Linked DNA regions of Astyanax mexicanus. The protein of the gene in region 2 interacts with the protein of the main gene of each other region in a pairwise test. Links are inferred from orthologs where the notes say so. Each region holds a gene or a part of one and is shown on either strand. Other genes may lie near its edges.

Region 1 (8,154 bases), on a different chromosome or scaffold from region 2:
CTGTCGTGGAGTTGTACTGCTCCATTTTACTCCCAAATTTTACCAGCCTAGAGAGAGAACGCATTTTTTTTTTTTTTTTTTTAGCATATATCCATTATAACTAAATAATAGATGTAAATATGTATATTATATCAATAAAACGGCAATAAACGAGTACAAATGCAATTTGAGAGCTGTATTTTTTTTATCAGGGGTGACCAATCTTATCTGGAAATGGCTGGTCTATGACCAGCTTTCAGCCCAAAATGACTTCAAATGACATCACATTCTAACTAGTTTAGCTAAGCTTTTACTAGGGATGCACAATGACATCAGAATTACATCAGTATTTTACAGGAGAAACCTTTCATTATATTGTTTGTATGGAGTTTGAAAGATTGAAAGCTAAAATGCAAGGTATATAATTGTTTCATTTATTATATAAGAAGTTATACTGGGGTGTCTAGTCTCTTTGTGAGTGTAAAATGTGTATATCAGTTTAGGAAGATATGTAAGTATGTAATATTAGATATTGGCATTAGCCCAGAATTCCTACATCAGTGCATCCCTACCTTTTAGTGGTAAAATGTGCATTGCATGAATTGGCAAATTTATTTTTCAGATGCTAATTAGAAAATTAACCCCACAAATGACTAGTCAAAATCACATTAAAAGATAATCACATTAATCAGAATGGCTTTGTTAATCTGTAGTAGGGGTGTGTCATAGCATATCATACACAATACATCGTGCTAGTAACATTGTGACTTTAAGAAATATCCACAGTAGGGTAACAGAAGCGTTCTGCTTTGAAAACAGTCTATTGTTTACTGTGAGTCTTTATGGGTATGCTGCATAACATACACAATATATCATGACACAGTAATATTGTGACTTAATAAATATAGTGGGAACAAGATCTTAATGCATGCCCACAACTTAAGGCATGGGAACAAGAATTAAGTCATGGGGACTTATGGGCTTCATAAAAAATTAAGTTTTCATTAGTAAAACGTTTTACATGAGACCTATAAAGTAAAAACTGAATTGGGACTTGTAGCTACCACTGTTGAATGAAGCTGCAAGAGCTCAATAAACTGGCAGCAAATCAATTATAACAAATTATAAAATGTACTTTACCAGGTAAAATGTTAAAGTTTAGCCAGCTATCCTACCCTAGTTTGTTTGTTTGCAAGTCCATGATTCTCACAAACACTGAGGCTCTGTTTGGGCTCGCAAATAATATAACTACAACATTCTGCAAAATAGGACCTTGTATAGTATAGTACTTCTTGAGAACAATATTGCAAGAGCATCCCGATTGCTCGATCTTTGTGCTCAGTATACTTAGCAGTAGGGGTGTGCCATATCGTATCGTACGTGATAATATCGCCAAAAATGTTGAATATCGTGAACGATATTATACCCTGAAATATTGTGCCATATCACCTACACCTTATTAGCACATCAAAGTACCACTTTTTTGTTGTTTTTAGCTAAATAAAAATTCACATTCATTTCTCATTTCCCATTATATATCTACTAGAGCCAGATTATATCTGTCTAGTATAGGGGTGGGCGATATGGCTCTAAAATAATATCACGATATTTCAGGGTATTTTTGCGATAACGATATACTTGGCGATATAGGAAAACAGAAAAATAATTAATTAATTTCAGAAATATAGTATAATAGTATAACAGCATAATCATAATGTGGCAAAATAAATAACATAGCATAAAATAATATAATGCAGCAAATAATATTGCAGAATATTTAGTGCATGCATATAAACTACAAACTAAAACAATTATACAATAAATAAACCTAAAGCTTCACAGTAAATAGACTACTTTTAAGACAGAACATCTCTATTATCACAATATGGATTTTTAATATCACGATATTTCTGTGTCACGATATATTGTATACGATATAATATTGCCCACCCCTACTGCTAAGTCTAGTGAGCACAAAGACAGACCAATTAGGATGCTCTTGCTTTATTGTTCCCAAAAGGACCTGGTATAAAATGTCATAATTTGCAGGATCTTTTAGCTATATGATTTGTGAGCCTCACTGAGCAACTGTTTTTTTAGTATTTGTGATAATCATTGAATTCACAGGAGAGGTGGGACGCCTGCTATCATTTTAATATAGAGCCTCTGGAGGGATTCAGACTTACAGAATAACACAAACATGATATAACCTTAAAACACAGCTTGTAATTAGGATAGCTAGCTGGCTAACCTTAACATTTACCTTACCTTTTAAAGGTAACTTAGCTAGCAGTATTCTCAATAGGTAAAACCATTTCTTTCATAGTGCTTGGTTTCAGTTTAGATTTGCAGCTCAATTTCAGAGTTCAAAAACAAGCTAGGGTTAGATATGAACAAATTATAAAAGGTAACGTTTTTTAATTACATTTAAAGGTAAAGTACATGTTAAGGTCAGGCAGTTAACTAACCTATCTAAGTTATTTGTTAGCTGTGCTCTGAGGTTAGGTCATGTTTATGTTAGCTAGAGTTAGCTTAGCTAGCTAAACAGGCTGTTGTTTTTGAAGCTACTTGAGCTAACCATGCTAATTTCAGACAGCACACTAAACAGGTCCGTTAGCTGGGTGAAGTGAGAGATTTTTTGTAGTTTTTGTATCTTATTTTTTATATTTTTCCCTCTCAGACCGACTGAATATCTAGTTAAGCTAGGTTAGCTAATAACGCGCAGGGGCGCACTCGCCCCCCGGCCCGCCGCAGTAAGCGGGCTGCAGCCCGGGCTAGACAGGCAGGCAGCTCGCCAGGCTAAGCTAGGCTAGCTAAGCTCCTTTGTCTGCGGGCTGCTGGAGCTCCAGCGCTAAACCCTCCATTTTAGCCGCGTTAGTGTCTCCGAGCCGCCGGCCGCCCTGCTCTCGCAGCGCCGGGCTGATCTCAGTATTTAGCACATTTACTCATTTGGTTGGTCACTGATAAACCAATCCCCGCTGTCAGCTCCGCCGCCCGGGAGCCGCGCGCTCTTTACCGTGTCTCTGTTGTCCGGTGTCCCTCTGATTGGCTCCAGTACGGCGCGCAGAAACCCAATCACCACCGCTCTCCCACAAAATGGCGCAAATGAGGCGCGCGGGGGGCAGGAGCTTCAAGGAGGGAGGAGGAGGAGGCGGCGCGCGCAGGCACGCAGAGGTGACGCGCATGGGAGGGGGGCGCGTGCGCAGCGGGAGCGCGCATTAAGTGTGGGAAATGAGAGATGGGGCTTAATAACAATTGAAATACTTAATAACGTTACTATTTTGGCTACGTATTAGGGTGATTCTCACGAAATCAGACTAATGAGGTGGCATTAAGGAGTGTGATGAACAGGTAAATGCTATCAATTTGGGAAACACTGGTTTATAAACATCTCATCAAAGGCTATATTGGAAGTGATTAAAAGTAGACATTGTGATATTTTAAATTATGTATTTTTTATAATTTAGTGTGAAATTCTCAGTACCGCAACGCGTCCATTGCTGAATCTCGGCTCTTCAATTACACAATTTTAATATTTAAAATAAATAAATAATAAAAAACTTAAATGTATCTCATAAAGTAAATTGTTACAGTCAATAAAAATGTATTACTTGGAATTCATTGGTAAAAGAAAAGAAAATATTTAGAAAAATAACTTTGGTCAGAACCAATGTTCTCAGCCTCCGCAACAATTTTCAAGCACCATTTAAGACCACAAGGAACAGAAAAAAAAACAGCCATTTTGAGAGGGGGGACACCTTTTAGTATGACACCCAAGATGGCTACCAGGTAAGCACCTAATTTTATACCTCTCCAGATAAATGTTAAAAACTTGGTTGTCAGCGAGCATACACAACTTTTTGTTTCTCATTACCGAAACAGCTAGTTTTTAATGTTTAAAAAAATGAAAATGTTATTGTGTTTTGGGAATTTTTAAGGTTTTTAAAGTCTAAATACAAAAAGCTAGCAAAAGTTTAGCCAGGCATCATGGTGGCCCCACAGAGATCAAAGAAGGTTAAGGTCCCTCATACTCCGCAACAGCCTTCTCATACACCGCAACAATTTAAGGCCTGTTGCGGTAGAGAGATTCACTGTTGCGGTAAAGAGAAATTAATGTTTTAAGTGACATGAACTTATATATATATATATATATATATATATATATTGTTTCATAAAAAAGCCTTTATTTACTTATAATAAACAATATATAAAACAATACATGATGCAATTTCAGATAAAAAACAGATTTATGTAGCAGGGCAGTGACACCCATATAACTTCCGCATAAGATATAAAAAATAATATATAAAAATAATATATATATATATATATATATATATATATATATATATATATATATATATATATATATATATAATATATAATTTTCATATATATAATATATACATTTCATGAAACAACTTTTATTGTTATAAACTGTTAATAAAGGTTGTTTCATGAAATTTATTTTTATAAACTTTTATTGTTATAAACTGTTTATATGTATATATATATATATATATATATATATATATATATATATATATATATATATATATATATATATACACATTTTATGAAACAACCTTTATTAACAGTTTATAACAATAAAAGTTGTTTCATGAAATGTATATATTATATATATGAAAATTATATATATACACACATATATACATTTCATTAAACAACTTTCTTTAATTTTATCTTTAATTTTAATTTAGTTGCACATTGATGTTTACATTTTTCATGAGATTAATGCTTAATACAAAGATGTTTAATGAGATGTTGAATTGCTTGTTTCATACTTAAATATTTAATTTCAATTTAGTTGTACATTGATGTTTATATCTGTCATGAAATTAATACTTAATAAAAAAGTTGTTTTATGAGATGTTGAATTACTTATTTTGTATTTAAACATTCCATTTCAATTTAGTTATACAGTGATGTTTAAAGTTTTAAGGAATTTATGTCTAATGAGGTATGTTGAAATTTGTTTTATTAAAATACACAGTTCAAAATAGGATATTTTCACAGCTTGAGTCTTACTGAGATTAATTTTCAACAGCAAATACCACATTTTGTTCAATATTACTACTCCATACAAAACTCAAGAAGTACATCATTAGAATTTGTTATTTATTCACAGCATTCACACTCTGTGTTTGTTGTGTAAAGTGTTATTGTTAATTAAGTAGGAATCCTTGTAATGACTCTCTTTACCGAAACATTGACTCTCTTTACCGAAACACCATTCTCTTTACCGCAACACATATTTATTTACTAATTATTTTACTGTTATAAAACAAATTCTAGTTTATAATGGTATTTGGATAAATTGTATTTCTTCATAGGTCATCTGTACTAAATAAGAAATTATACATGTAATTTTTCAGTTAAATATCCTGAAAAGACAGGACATGAATCATGAAATCTGTTGCGGTAATGAGACAAATCATAAAATAAAAAAAAATGGGAAACTTATAAATATAATATTTTCTGGGTTATATACACATATGAGCACAACTGTTAATAATATCTATTTAAAAAGTAACAAATGTGTAACTTTTAAACCATATCTGTTCTGTGTTATCATGTTGCGGTACTGAGAATGTGTGTGCTCTGACTGACTAAAATGGTGCAAAATATACAGAAAAAAATTATAAAATTAAAAAAAAAAAGTATTTCTAAAAAGTTCAGACCCTAGTCTTGCATAACAAAAAGAAATTTTATATTTAAATGCCTTTTGAAATTTTTCAAGTGTGAACCCTTTTAAATCTGTTTTTCGTGAGAATCACCCATTATATATAAATGTAGATTCTTTAAAAACACTCCAAACTGTTTAGTGTTTAAAATAATTTGGCTCTTGTAGCGAATATATGTATTCTTACAGCAGATTCTATCTAATTTACTTTTTATGTCTAATGTAATTTAATTTATTTGTTCTAAATGATAATTCAGATTGACAGACTCTGGTCTCTTGATTTTCAAATAAAATGCAAAAATAGACTGATATTCAGTGATAATTTGGAGAGCCATGTAATCTGCTGGTGTTGATCCACTGTGTTATATCAAGTCAGTACAAAAGTCAGTGCAGTTTTGTTTTCCCGCAAAATCTTACAGCACTTAATGCTTCCCTCTGCTGAAAAATTTTATGGCGATGTGGATTTCATTTTTCAGCAGGACTTGGCACACTGCCCATACTACCAGAAGTACCAATTGGTATGTTTGTCAAAATTCTAATTTTCGGAGAAACTGATTTTTGGATTTACACTGGCTGTAAGCCGTAATCATCAAAATAAAATAAATTAATGATAAAAAATAGATCATTCTGCGAGTAATAATTCTATATAATATATGAGTTTCACATTTTGAACTGAATTACAGAAATAAAGCAACTTTTCAATGATATTCTAATTTTTTTTTAGATTCACTAGTAATTTCAGTTGACGATCCAAAAATCCTGCTTCACATTCCAGATCAGCAGGGGGCGGTAATGAACCTGTAAGTAATGTATAGGTCTGCCTAAAGAAGAAGAAGAAGACTTCAGTGCGGTTGCTGAGCTGCGGGTTTTTGGAGTTAGATACAAGATTTTATCGAGTTATAATAACTTATCTCTCAGTATAGAGCGCGGGCTCAGGACAGGTAACGCCCTTTATTTTTAACACCTTATTTAGAGCTGATAATTCAGTCTACAGCGGGTTATCTTGCGGTGGTGAGCCGTGTGAAGAGGCTGAGCATGGCTTTTTCAATTAAATGACCCGGTCCACCTTAAACAGCGCAGCACTAACTTAACTGACAGATACTGAGCTATTTACAGTAACAGTGGCTCCTTTTTAAGGTGGTACGAGGAATTACAAAAATTAAGAAATAACCAAGCCATATTTATACTTTAATTATATTCGTACAACAGTATTACTGGATATTTTAAATATATGACCAAATAAGATACCTTGTCTACCTTAATAATAAAAATTATACAGCTCTTGAAAAAATTAGAAAGCACTTAAAATTATGTGTTTCTTTCTTACAACCAAAAGGAAGATGGATGATCACAAGCCGTCAAACCAAATTGAACTGCTTGAATTTTTGCACCAGGAGTGGCATAAAATTATCCAAAAGCAGTGTGTAAGACTGGTGAAGGAGAACGTGCCAAGATGCATGAAAGCTGTGATTACAAACCAGGGTTATTTCACCAAATATTGATTTCTGAACTCTGCATTTTTTTTTGCTATTTCGACAATATGACAATATTTTATTGGGAATTTAGGAGAAATATTCATACTTTGTTAGATGTTCAGTATTTCAGAGTAATGCCAATGAGGGAGAGAGTCTGATTTAAGAGTTTAGTCTTCTAGTCTTTTATAATAGTGTTTAGATAATAGAGCTGCACGGTACTGAAAAACACTGACATTGTGATTAGGGGTGTGCCATATCGTATCGTATGCAGTAATATTGACTAAAATTCTATACGATAAAGAAATCCATATTGTGATATCACAATATTCTTAAAATGATTCTATTTTGTATTTATTTGGTTATTTACTGTGTTTATTTTTAATGTCTGCATTGTTTATATACAGCACTAAACATTCTACACTTTATTTTTGTGGTAGATTTTTGTTGTTACATTACTTTTACATAATTGTTTGTTATATGTTGTATTTTGTTACATAATTATTTTATACAAACATTTTTTATTTCATCTGAATGTATGTAACTCATGATTATAATTGAGTTGAGTTAATGTTTATTTATTGTACAAGTCGATTAATGTACTTATCGTAACCGGCTTAAATAGAACTTGTATATGTATTACTGTTTTGTTGCAATAGTATATTCCTGAAAATTAGCATAGCCACCTTTTAAAGACCAGCTTGGACTGTCTGAAACCAGCTACCAGCTATATCTAGTCTTGAGTTGGATTTTTCAGCAGGCGTGTAATAATAATAATAATATTATTTATTTTTAATAAATTAGGTCACCATCACATTCAGTACAAGGACACTCTTGTCCACTGGTCAGCATGCTCAGCTCTTTGAGGCTGGTCCGCTGGATGAAGCTCGCTGCTTTTCCAGGACCTGGAATTGCACCAGTTCAATGCCACGCCAGCCATGATGCCCGCATGTGGATGAACTCTGCTGGGAGGCTGTCAGCTGCAGACAACAGAGGAAG
Region 2 (7,993 bases):
AAAGGTTGTCCTACTTTCTCGAGCGTCAGAATACCTTTTCTCCTTATCAGACTGGTTTTTGTAGGGGCAGAATGACGATGGACTCAATCCTAGGTTTAGAAGCAGATATCAGGAGGGTACAGCTTCATAAAGAAGTGGTTGTTGCTGTATTTTTTGATATTGAAAAGGCTTATGATATGCTGTGGCAAGAAGGTCTGCTAATTAAGCTGTCTGTGCTCGGAATCGGAGGGAGGATGTACAACTGGGTAATGGATTTTTTAATGAATAGGTCCATACAGGTCAGGGTGGGTACTTCTTGTTCTAAAGTGTATTCTATTGAAAATGGGACTCCGCAAGGCAGTGTATGTAGCCCTATTTTATTTAACATTATGATCAATGACATCTTTTCTGGGGTTAGTCCTGACGTAGCATCTTTGTATGCAGATGATGGGGCTCTGTGGAAGAGAGGGAGGAATCTATCTTCTGTTAAGCGAAAGATGCAGGAGGCAATTGTTGGGGTTGAACACTGGGCAAATGAATTCAAGTTATCTGTGGCTAAATCCCAGATCATCTATTTTTCTAAGAGATCAAAAAAATGAACTTGGGCTTAAACTGTATGGTCAGACTCTTGAACAGGTGAAGGTAGTCAGGTTTCTTGGTCTGTGGATGGACTCGAAATTGTCCTGGAAGCATCACATTATGAAGATCATAGATAAATGCAAAAATGGATTAAATGTCCTTAAATGCTTGGCAGGAACTGACTGGGGGGCTGACCGTTCCTCTCTCCAGTGCATTTATGATGCTCTAATTAGATCGGTTTTTGACTATGGCTGCATGGCCTATAGATCAGCTGCTGAGTCAAACCTAAAATTACTTGATGTAATACAAGCACAAGCACTGAGATTGTGTTGTGGTGCAGTTAGATCCTCCCCAGTGGCTTCTCTACAGGTTGAAACAGGAGAAATGCCTTTGCATTTTAGAAGACTTGCATTGTCTACAGTATATTGGTCCAACCTGAAGGGGCACATAGAGAGCCATCCAGCTGTGTCTGTTTTACATGATTGCAGTGCTCCTCTTCATGGTTCCTCAAGGAGTTTTGGGTGTCTGAGCAACTCCTTGGATGTTCCCATTGCCTAGTGTTTATTTTTCCCTCCTTAATAAAAAATGGAGTGATGCAGGAAGTGCAGCTGTTATGGTAGAACAACATCTGGCACTTAATTATTATGGTACTCTGCAGGTGTATACTGATGGGTCAAAGGATCCTACTGTGGGTTCCACATCAGCAGCGGTCTTTGTACCAGAATTTCATGTGGTTATTAGTAGGCGACTGTCTGATAACCTATCTGTATTTTCCTCCGAGCTTGTCGCCATTCTTTTAGCATTGCAGTGGGCTGAGGATGTTTGCCCAATGAGGATGGTGATTTGTTCAGATTCTTTGTCTGCTTTACAAAGCATCCAGTCTGGCAAATCTAAATGTAGACAAGACCTAATTTTAAAAATATCTCAGGCATTATTTCGTTTACACATGCAGACTATTTTAGTTCAGTTTTTATGGGTTCCAGCACATGTAGGGGTGGACGGTAATGAGACTGCTGACAAAGCTGCTAAACAATGCCTGAAGAAAAATAGATGTGACCTTGATATCCCTCTTAGCAAAGCTGAGGCAAGAGTGGTTGTAAAACAACATGTTAGAACATGAACCGAAGGGGAGGCATTTGTTTGCAATACAACCGAGAGTTGGTTTGGGTGGGAGTGGAGGGTACTGTCGGAGGCAGGAAATTGTACTAACAAGGCTCCGAGTAGGTCACAGTATGCTGAAAGCCTCTTTGCAAATAATACAGAAACACTCCACAGGGCTTTGTCGCCACTGTCCGCAGAGGGAAACCGTGGACCATGTTCTTTTTGTTGCAATAAATATGCTGTACAAAGGAAAATTTTGTTTTCTTCTCTTAAAGACAAGGGTCACAAAGACTTTTCTTTGACAGGATTGCTTTCTTATGGGGCAGGGATGGGTTCGGTTCACAAACTGGTTTTTCAATATTTGAAAGCTATTGGTATATTTTACTTTATTTAGTTTTTTTTTTCTCTCTCTCGTTTACTTTCTTTTATTTTTATGTACTTATTTATGAATTTCCTTTCACCTACATTTTGTTTATTATTGGCCATGTCACTTCCCGAAATCACACTTCATACTCCTGCTCAGTAGGTGGCGGTAATGCACCTTCAGTTGGTCTGCCATCCGCCATAAACCTGAAAGAAGAAGAAGAAGAAGAAGAAGAAGAAGTCAGGTTTCCGGTTGAAATCAGGTTGTGACGGTCGTTCCACTGAAGGTCGTGAAGACAGAAGCTGAGGTTAGAACTCCTTTCCCTTCTCTAGCTCAGAGTGAACTGTTCTTTATCACTGTGTTCTTCATTTTTTAAGGTAAATATAACTTTTCGTTATAAGCCAGTTCTGAGTGCATTCTCTCTTCAGCGTGAGCAGCAGAGCTCCCTAATGCTAATGTCCATTCTGTTAACAGCCTAGCTTAGCTAACCTAGCTTCTGGTAGCGTTTCAACAACTCGGTCATATTTACATTTTAAAATACGCATTTAGTGGTTATTATATTAACATCAGAAGTCTTATGTAGAACTGGAGCATATAGTTGACCTTTTCGACAGTTGTTGGCTGTTCCACTGCATTTAAGATGGTTCGGACAATAATGAGTCAGTTTTTTATAGTTTTTGCTTATTTAGTTTTTTATATTGACGTTATCCAACCCCTTTTCAGAAGTGTCTAGAACTGCACGTAGTCCATAAAATGTACAATTCCTTTCACATTCATATTCCAATTTTATATATATATATAAGTTGTTAAACTCCTGCCTGTCTTAAGAGCTGTATTTTAAAATATGTCTCTCCAGGTATTTCACCATGTCTCTTCCAAAGCCTGTGATGAGGGGTCTCCTTGGCAAGAGGTTGAGGTTTCACTTGCCTATTGCTTTTACTCTGTCCCTATTGGCAGCAGTTTCATTTAAGGTCAGTTATGTAGTCCTGATAGTTTGGTCTAACCGTTTGTGAGACCCAGTTGTGAATTTTTACCCTTATTGCGGTCCTGAAACACTGCCTAAATATGAGTGTGATTTGGGAAAAAATTACTTTCGTGTTACTTTAGGGCTGTCTTAATGGAATATTCATAAAGTCATTACTGTTCCCTTAAGTGTTGAATTTCCTTTAAATAATCCCTTAAGTATTTTTATTATTATTTTTTTTTTTTTTGTTAAGTGATATATCTGAGAAAATGTATGCAACAAACCTAATTCACTTGAGTAAGGGAATTCTTCTGTTATGTTTACTCTTAAGGTAAACTTAAGGTGTTGTATGCAACTGAGCCCAGCTTGTCCAAATAATTGTTTTCTTATTCTAATGTAGTACACAGTAACAGAACCCCGGAAGCAGGCTTATGCTGACTTCTACAAGAACTATGATGCCATGAAGGAGTTCAGTGCCATGAGAGAAGCTGGTGTTTTTGAAAGTGTGAGGCCTACAGGTGAATAAGGTGAGTGTCCAGCTCTTTTGAACAGGGTTTTTGAAATTTGTTTTGTGATATCACAAAAACAGTTGCATATATTGCCTATTCAGCAGGTTACCAATCAAGTTAATTATTAACAATTAATATTGGGTAGCTAATTAAAAGAGCGGGGGGTGGTGGGGGCTATATGTTAAGTTTACCTTGAGTGTCTTCTGGGGATGACTTTACACCCCAGGTGACTCATTCCAATTAAACATTCAGATAATTGTACACCATTTTCAAAGCCTTTCCATAAAATTCCAGACTACGAGGTTACCGCTACTGGTTACACACAGTAATTTTATTTTTGTGCTCTTTTTTTTTTTCTCTGTCTACAGGAGATCTCTACATCTGCATTCATGGCCTGCTGTTTTCATGTACCTTGCATATTGGATGTGAACATATCTGATGTTCTCATAACGTTACAAATAAACTTCTAAACATGTACACTCCTTGTCTTTTTTTTTAAACTCTGTGTGGTTAGTTAGTCATTAGGATAATTTAACCACTGTAGTCAGTAGTACTTCGTTGAGAATTTACTGCTATTTCACAATGCTGTTCCATAACGATAAATTATTTTTCGTTCTTGAATATTAAACTGAAGTGTAGATGCTAACATATGCCAGGGGGTTGCTAGGCTCTTGTGGAGCACTTCAACTCTTTCAGTATGCTGTGGCATTTGTACCAAATATGATATGATTTAAGAGACTGTTTAAAGGGCGAGTGTGTGTGCGTTGTTTTTTTATTATTATTATTATTATTTTTTTTAAAGCATTCATTTAATGTTAGGGATGTAGTCTGAATCAGTAGATGTCAGTAGTGTTTTATATTTAAAAGAAACTTAATGAATCAGAATTGTTTAGTGGTGAATAATATATGAAAAGTCTAAGACCTCTTAAAGCTCATTTAAATTATTGCACTAAATAGTTGTGGATCTGATATATAGATATTTATTTTAGGTCTTGAAGGGGTCTAAAAATTCATGAATTTATGCAGGTCACTGTATGACACAAATAATGCTAAGAGTTAGGAGGTCTGTTAGAAGACATGTTAAAAACTCAATAGTGGGTTTGAAGAGTATTTAAAATTGTTCTCTTTGTTGTGACACATGTTTCCTATCACAACAACTGCAGGATTTCCACTTTAAATATGACTTTTAACTTGAAGTGACACACCACCCCCCCCCCCCCCCCCTTCCGTTTGTCCACCCACCCGGGGTCCTTGTTGCAAATTGCTCCGTAAAGGTATAGTGTTTTTTGTAGATCTGCGGAAGTGTGGCTTGCTTCTAACAGCTGCGTGTGGAAACTACGTTCTACATATTACATGAAAAGGTAAGATAGATGAGCTGGAAATCGGAGAAGTTTGCTTTAGGCTTTTTTTGTATGCAAACGGAAGTATCAACTTTAACGCGCGTCGACCTCGAGAATGTATACATGGATAGCCAGCTAGTTTGTGCTTTCCCTCAGAATTTGAATTCTGAAGATTGATTTTGTATTTAGAGTGGTTGTACAGCGTCGTGGGCGGCTGTGTACGCGTGTGGTAAGTCGCCAGTTTTACACCCACTGATTTGATTAGTTGGGCTAGCTAGGTCCTTTGTAGCTAACAGTAATACGGAATTGAGTCCTTGCAAAAACAGCGCTTATTGTAAATGTAACGTTTACAAATATAAATATTTCACGTTTAATTATGTAGGTTAGTTAACCTACTTATATTCAGGGGCCCTACTGTAGCAAACTAGCTAGCATCGTTGTCCCGTCTAGTTAACCTAACCGGTTCTTTGGTTTGGCAGTTAGCTAGCTACGTTTTAGCCAAGTTAATTAGTTAACAGCTAATCAAACCATAAAAACAGCGGTTTAAAAATGTGTATCTATTTTTTATTCTATTATAGCTGTACTGTTTTCTTGTAGTGTATTATTCATAATATTATTATAACTAGTGGCAAGTACCATGTGCATAAAACAAAGTGTAGAAAAGCGCCAAACGTTCAAAGCCTTTTAACAAACGTTACTTCTATGCCAAAATTCCAGAATTAACCCATACCTAGCAGGCAATGAAAGAAAGGTTGTTTTTCCTCATCGACTTTTCCAGTCCACCCGAAGAAGTTGCAATACCAATGTTACGCCAGTAGATTGTAGTGTTTGACCGATTAGCAAAATATTTATTTATTTTCACTTTGTAAAACAAAATATATAAACACAAACACACATACACACACTTGAAAATGGCGATTTCCAAGCCTGGAAAAACTTTGGAAAAATAGAAAATACCCAGAAAGTTTTGTAAACATGGAAATTTGGTCTACAAATCTTTGTGTTTCAGTTTATGGATGGAGAAAATCTATTTTGATGTTTAATTCAGTAATTTAGCCCTACACGATGGAGCTCTCGGGATCTGACACACATTTTACTATTAAAGATTGTCATCATTTTAGACCTACTATAATCAATTTTAATTATAGTTTTAGTTGATTTTCGGTTTTGTTGTCCATGTCGGCGCTGATGTTTTAAACATCGTATGGTCTGTTTACTGTGGATTACTAGAAGAGCAATGAACGAATACATGTTAAGTGGATTCCCTCTCTCCATAGCAGAAACTTGAAGGACCTCTGAATTGATATCCTCTGACGCTCGCTATTGCAGAAATAGTGCACTATATCCTGGTGCTGTATCATACTTCCTCGGAGCGGACAAACTAATATTGTTTGTTGTTTAGTTGTCCCACAAGTCCCCCAACCTTAGTTCAGAGATTTTTTAATCAATATAAACAAAATTAAATTCATATGAAATTATAATAGATAATAGTGAACATATGTTTAGGAGAAAATAAAGAATAAGAAACACTGTAGAAATGTGTAGTTTTACAATGTAGTAAATACCATTTGTTGTCTTGGCTAAATATGAAATTATGGCTACTTCTTTTAGCTTACATATTCAACTCCATCATATTCTGAAGGCCCACACTGTAAAAAATGCAAACAGTGTTAAAAATGTGTTGGATTTAGTAATAGCATGGCCATTTTTGAGTTAATATAACTCTATTTACACTATTAAACACAAACTAATTTGTTTCAGAAAATATATTAATATTTACTCCGTATCTAAAGAAAAATAATTTATATTTACTCAGTATCTGGAGAAAATTGATTAAAATCGTGTACTAAATGCCTGAGTAAAAATTATTTAGATTTACTAAATAAAATAAAATGTATAAACTCATTTTAACATGCTGTTGTGTATTTAGACATACATACACTGCAAATCCTATTCCGCTGTACAGCTTTTTAAATTTTTATTTATATTCTAGATCTATTCAGATTTTTAATCTACCAAATATCATGTCTTGTGGTGACATGGCTTACTTTAATCATATTAACAGATTACCGTGCAATAAAACTATAGTTATACAACAGAAAGATTGACAATCTATTTGTCCTTCAAGTTGATAAAGGATTACTTGGAAAAAAAATTGATCCTGTAAAAAAAACTGCTCTCTCTCTCCACATCCATTGTGGCTAAAACAAGCCCAGAATATTTTTATTGTTCTTTTTTAATGTTTGCAAGTTCTTTTCCTGTTGGGTAAAAAAAAGGTAGCAGCAACATGAAGTCCAGAATGCAAGTGTGCTTATAGCAGCATGATAATGGAAGTACAAGATAAGATAACAGTACAAGATAAAGTGTCTCAGTGCGGTTTAAGGTGACAGTGTTTGTAAACAGTAATTGTCCTTGTAAAGTGTAAGTGCAGTGTGTTGTTTAGGTGGAGTTTAAGAGTCTTACAGCTTCTGGAATGAAGCTGTTTCTGAGTCTGGTTGTTTTGCACTTGATGCTCCGCAGCCTCCGGCCTGAGGGGAGCGTGTGCTGGGTGGGTGGGATCCTTCCTGATACAGGTGGCCCTTTTCCTGCATCTGGAGATGTAGATGTCTGTGGTGCTGGGGAGGTTGACTCCAACAATCTTCTGTGCAGCTTTTACCACCCTCTGTAGAGCTTTCCTGTCTGCAGCAGAGCAGCTCCCGTACCACACGGTGATGCTGGAGTACACAACGCTCTCCACCACACATCTGTAGAAGGAGGTGTGCTTCCAAGTCCAGCTCGTCTCAGCCTCCTGAGAAAGACGAGCTGCTGATGTGCCTTCCTGACCAGAGTGGAAGTGTTGTTGCTTCAGGTGAGGTTGCTGCTCATGTGTACATCCAAGCACCTGGAACTGTCGACCACTTCCACCGCAGATCCTCCACTGTGAGCAGTGTGAACAGGAGGCAGCTCAACACACAGCCCTGTGCTGAGGATTATGGTGGGGGAGAGTGAGGGCTACTGGCCAGTAGTCATTCAGACCTGTCACTGCGGAGCACTGGGACTGGGATGATTGTGGCGGTCTTCAGGCAAGAGCTGGTCTGCGCAGTCTCTTAGCACCCGTCCGGGGATGTTGTCCTGGCCAGCAGCTTTCCGGGGTGGATCCTCCTCAGTGTCCTCCTTA

Evidence for each region.
Region 1: the proteins of zc3h10 (region 2) and nfyal interact in binary tests that used the Homo sapiens proteins (3 or more experiments, as listed by UniProt). The two-hybrid records come from large-scale screens. The link is inferred for Astyanax mexicanus from reciprocal best matches to the Homo sapiens genes ZC3H10 and NFYA.

What each region holds. Positions count from the first base shown.
Region 1 is NC_064419.1:41,614,347-41,622,500, forward strand, and holds the start of nfyal (nuclear transcription factor Y, alpha, like), read right to left. Parts: upstream 3,128-8,154; 5' UTR 2,996-3,127; exon of another isoform or gene 2,925-2,995; intron 48-2,924; 5' UTR 26-47; coding exon 1-25. Other genes in the region: ngrn (neugrin), read left to right, coding at 8,006-8,154. UniProt on the Homo sapiens protein: Component of the sequence-specific heterotrimeric transcription factor (NF-Y) which specifically recognizes a 5'-CCAAT-3' box motif found in the promoters of its target genes.
Region 2 is NC_064412.1:44,327,468-44,335,460, forward strand, and holds the start of zc3h10 (zinc finger CCCH domain-containing protein 10), read left to right. Parts: upstream 1-4,720; 5' UTR 4,721-4,857; intron 4,858-4,879; exon of another isoform or gene 4,880-5,065; intron 5,066-7,993. Other genes in the region: cytochrome c oxidase subunit 6C-1, read left to right, coding at 2,890-2,994, 3,388-3,513. UniProt on the Homo sapiens protein: Specific regulator of miRNA biogenesis. Binds, via the C3H1-type zinc finger domains, to the binding motif 5'-GCAGCGC-3' on microRNA pri-MIR143 and negatively regulates the processing to mature microRNA.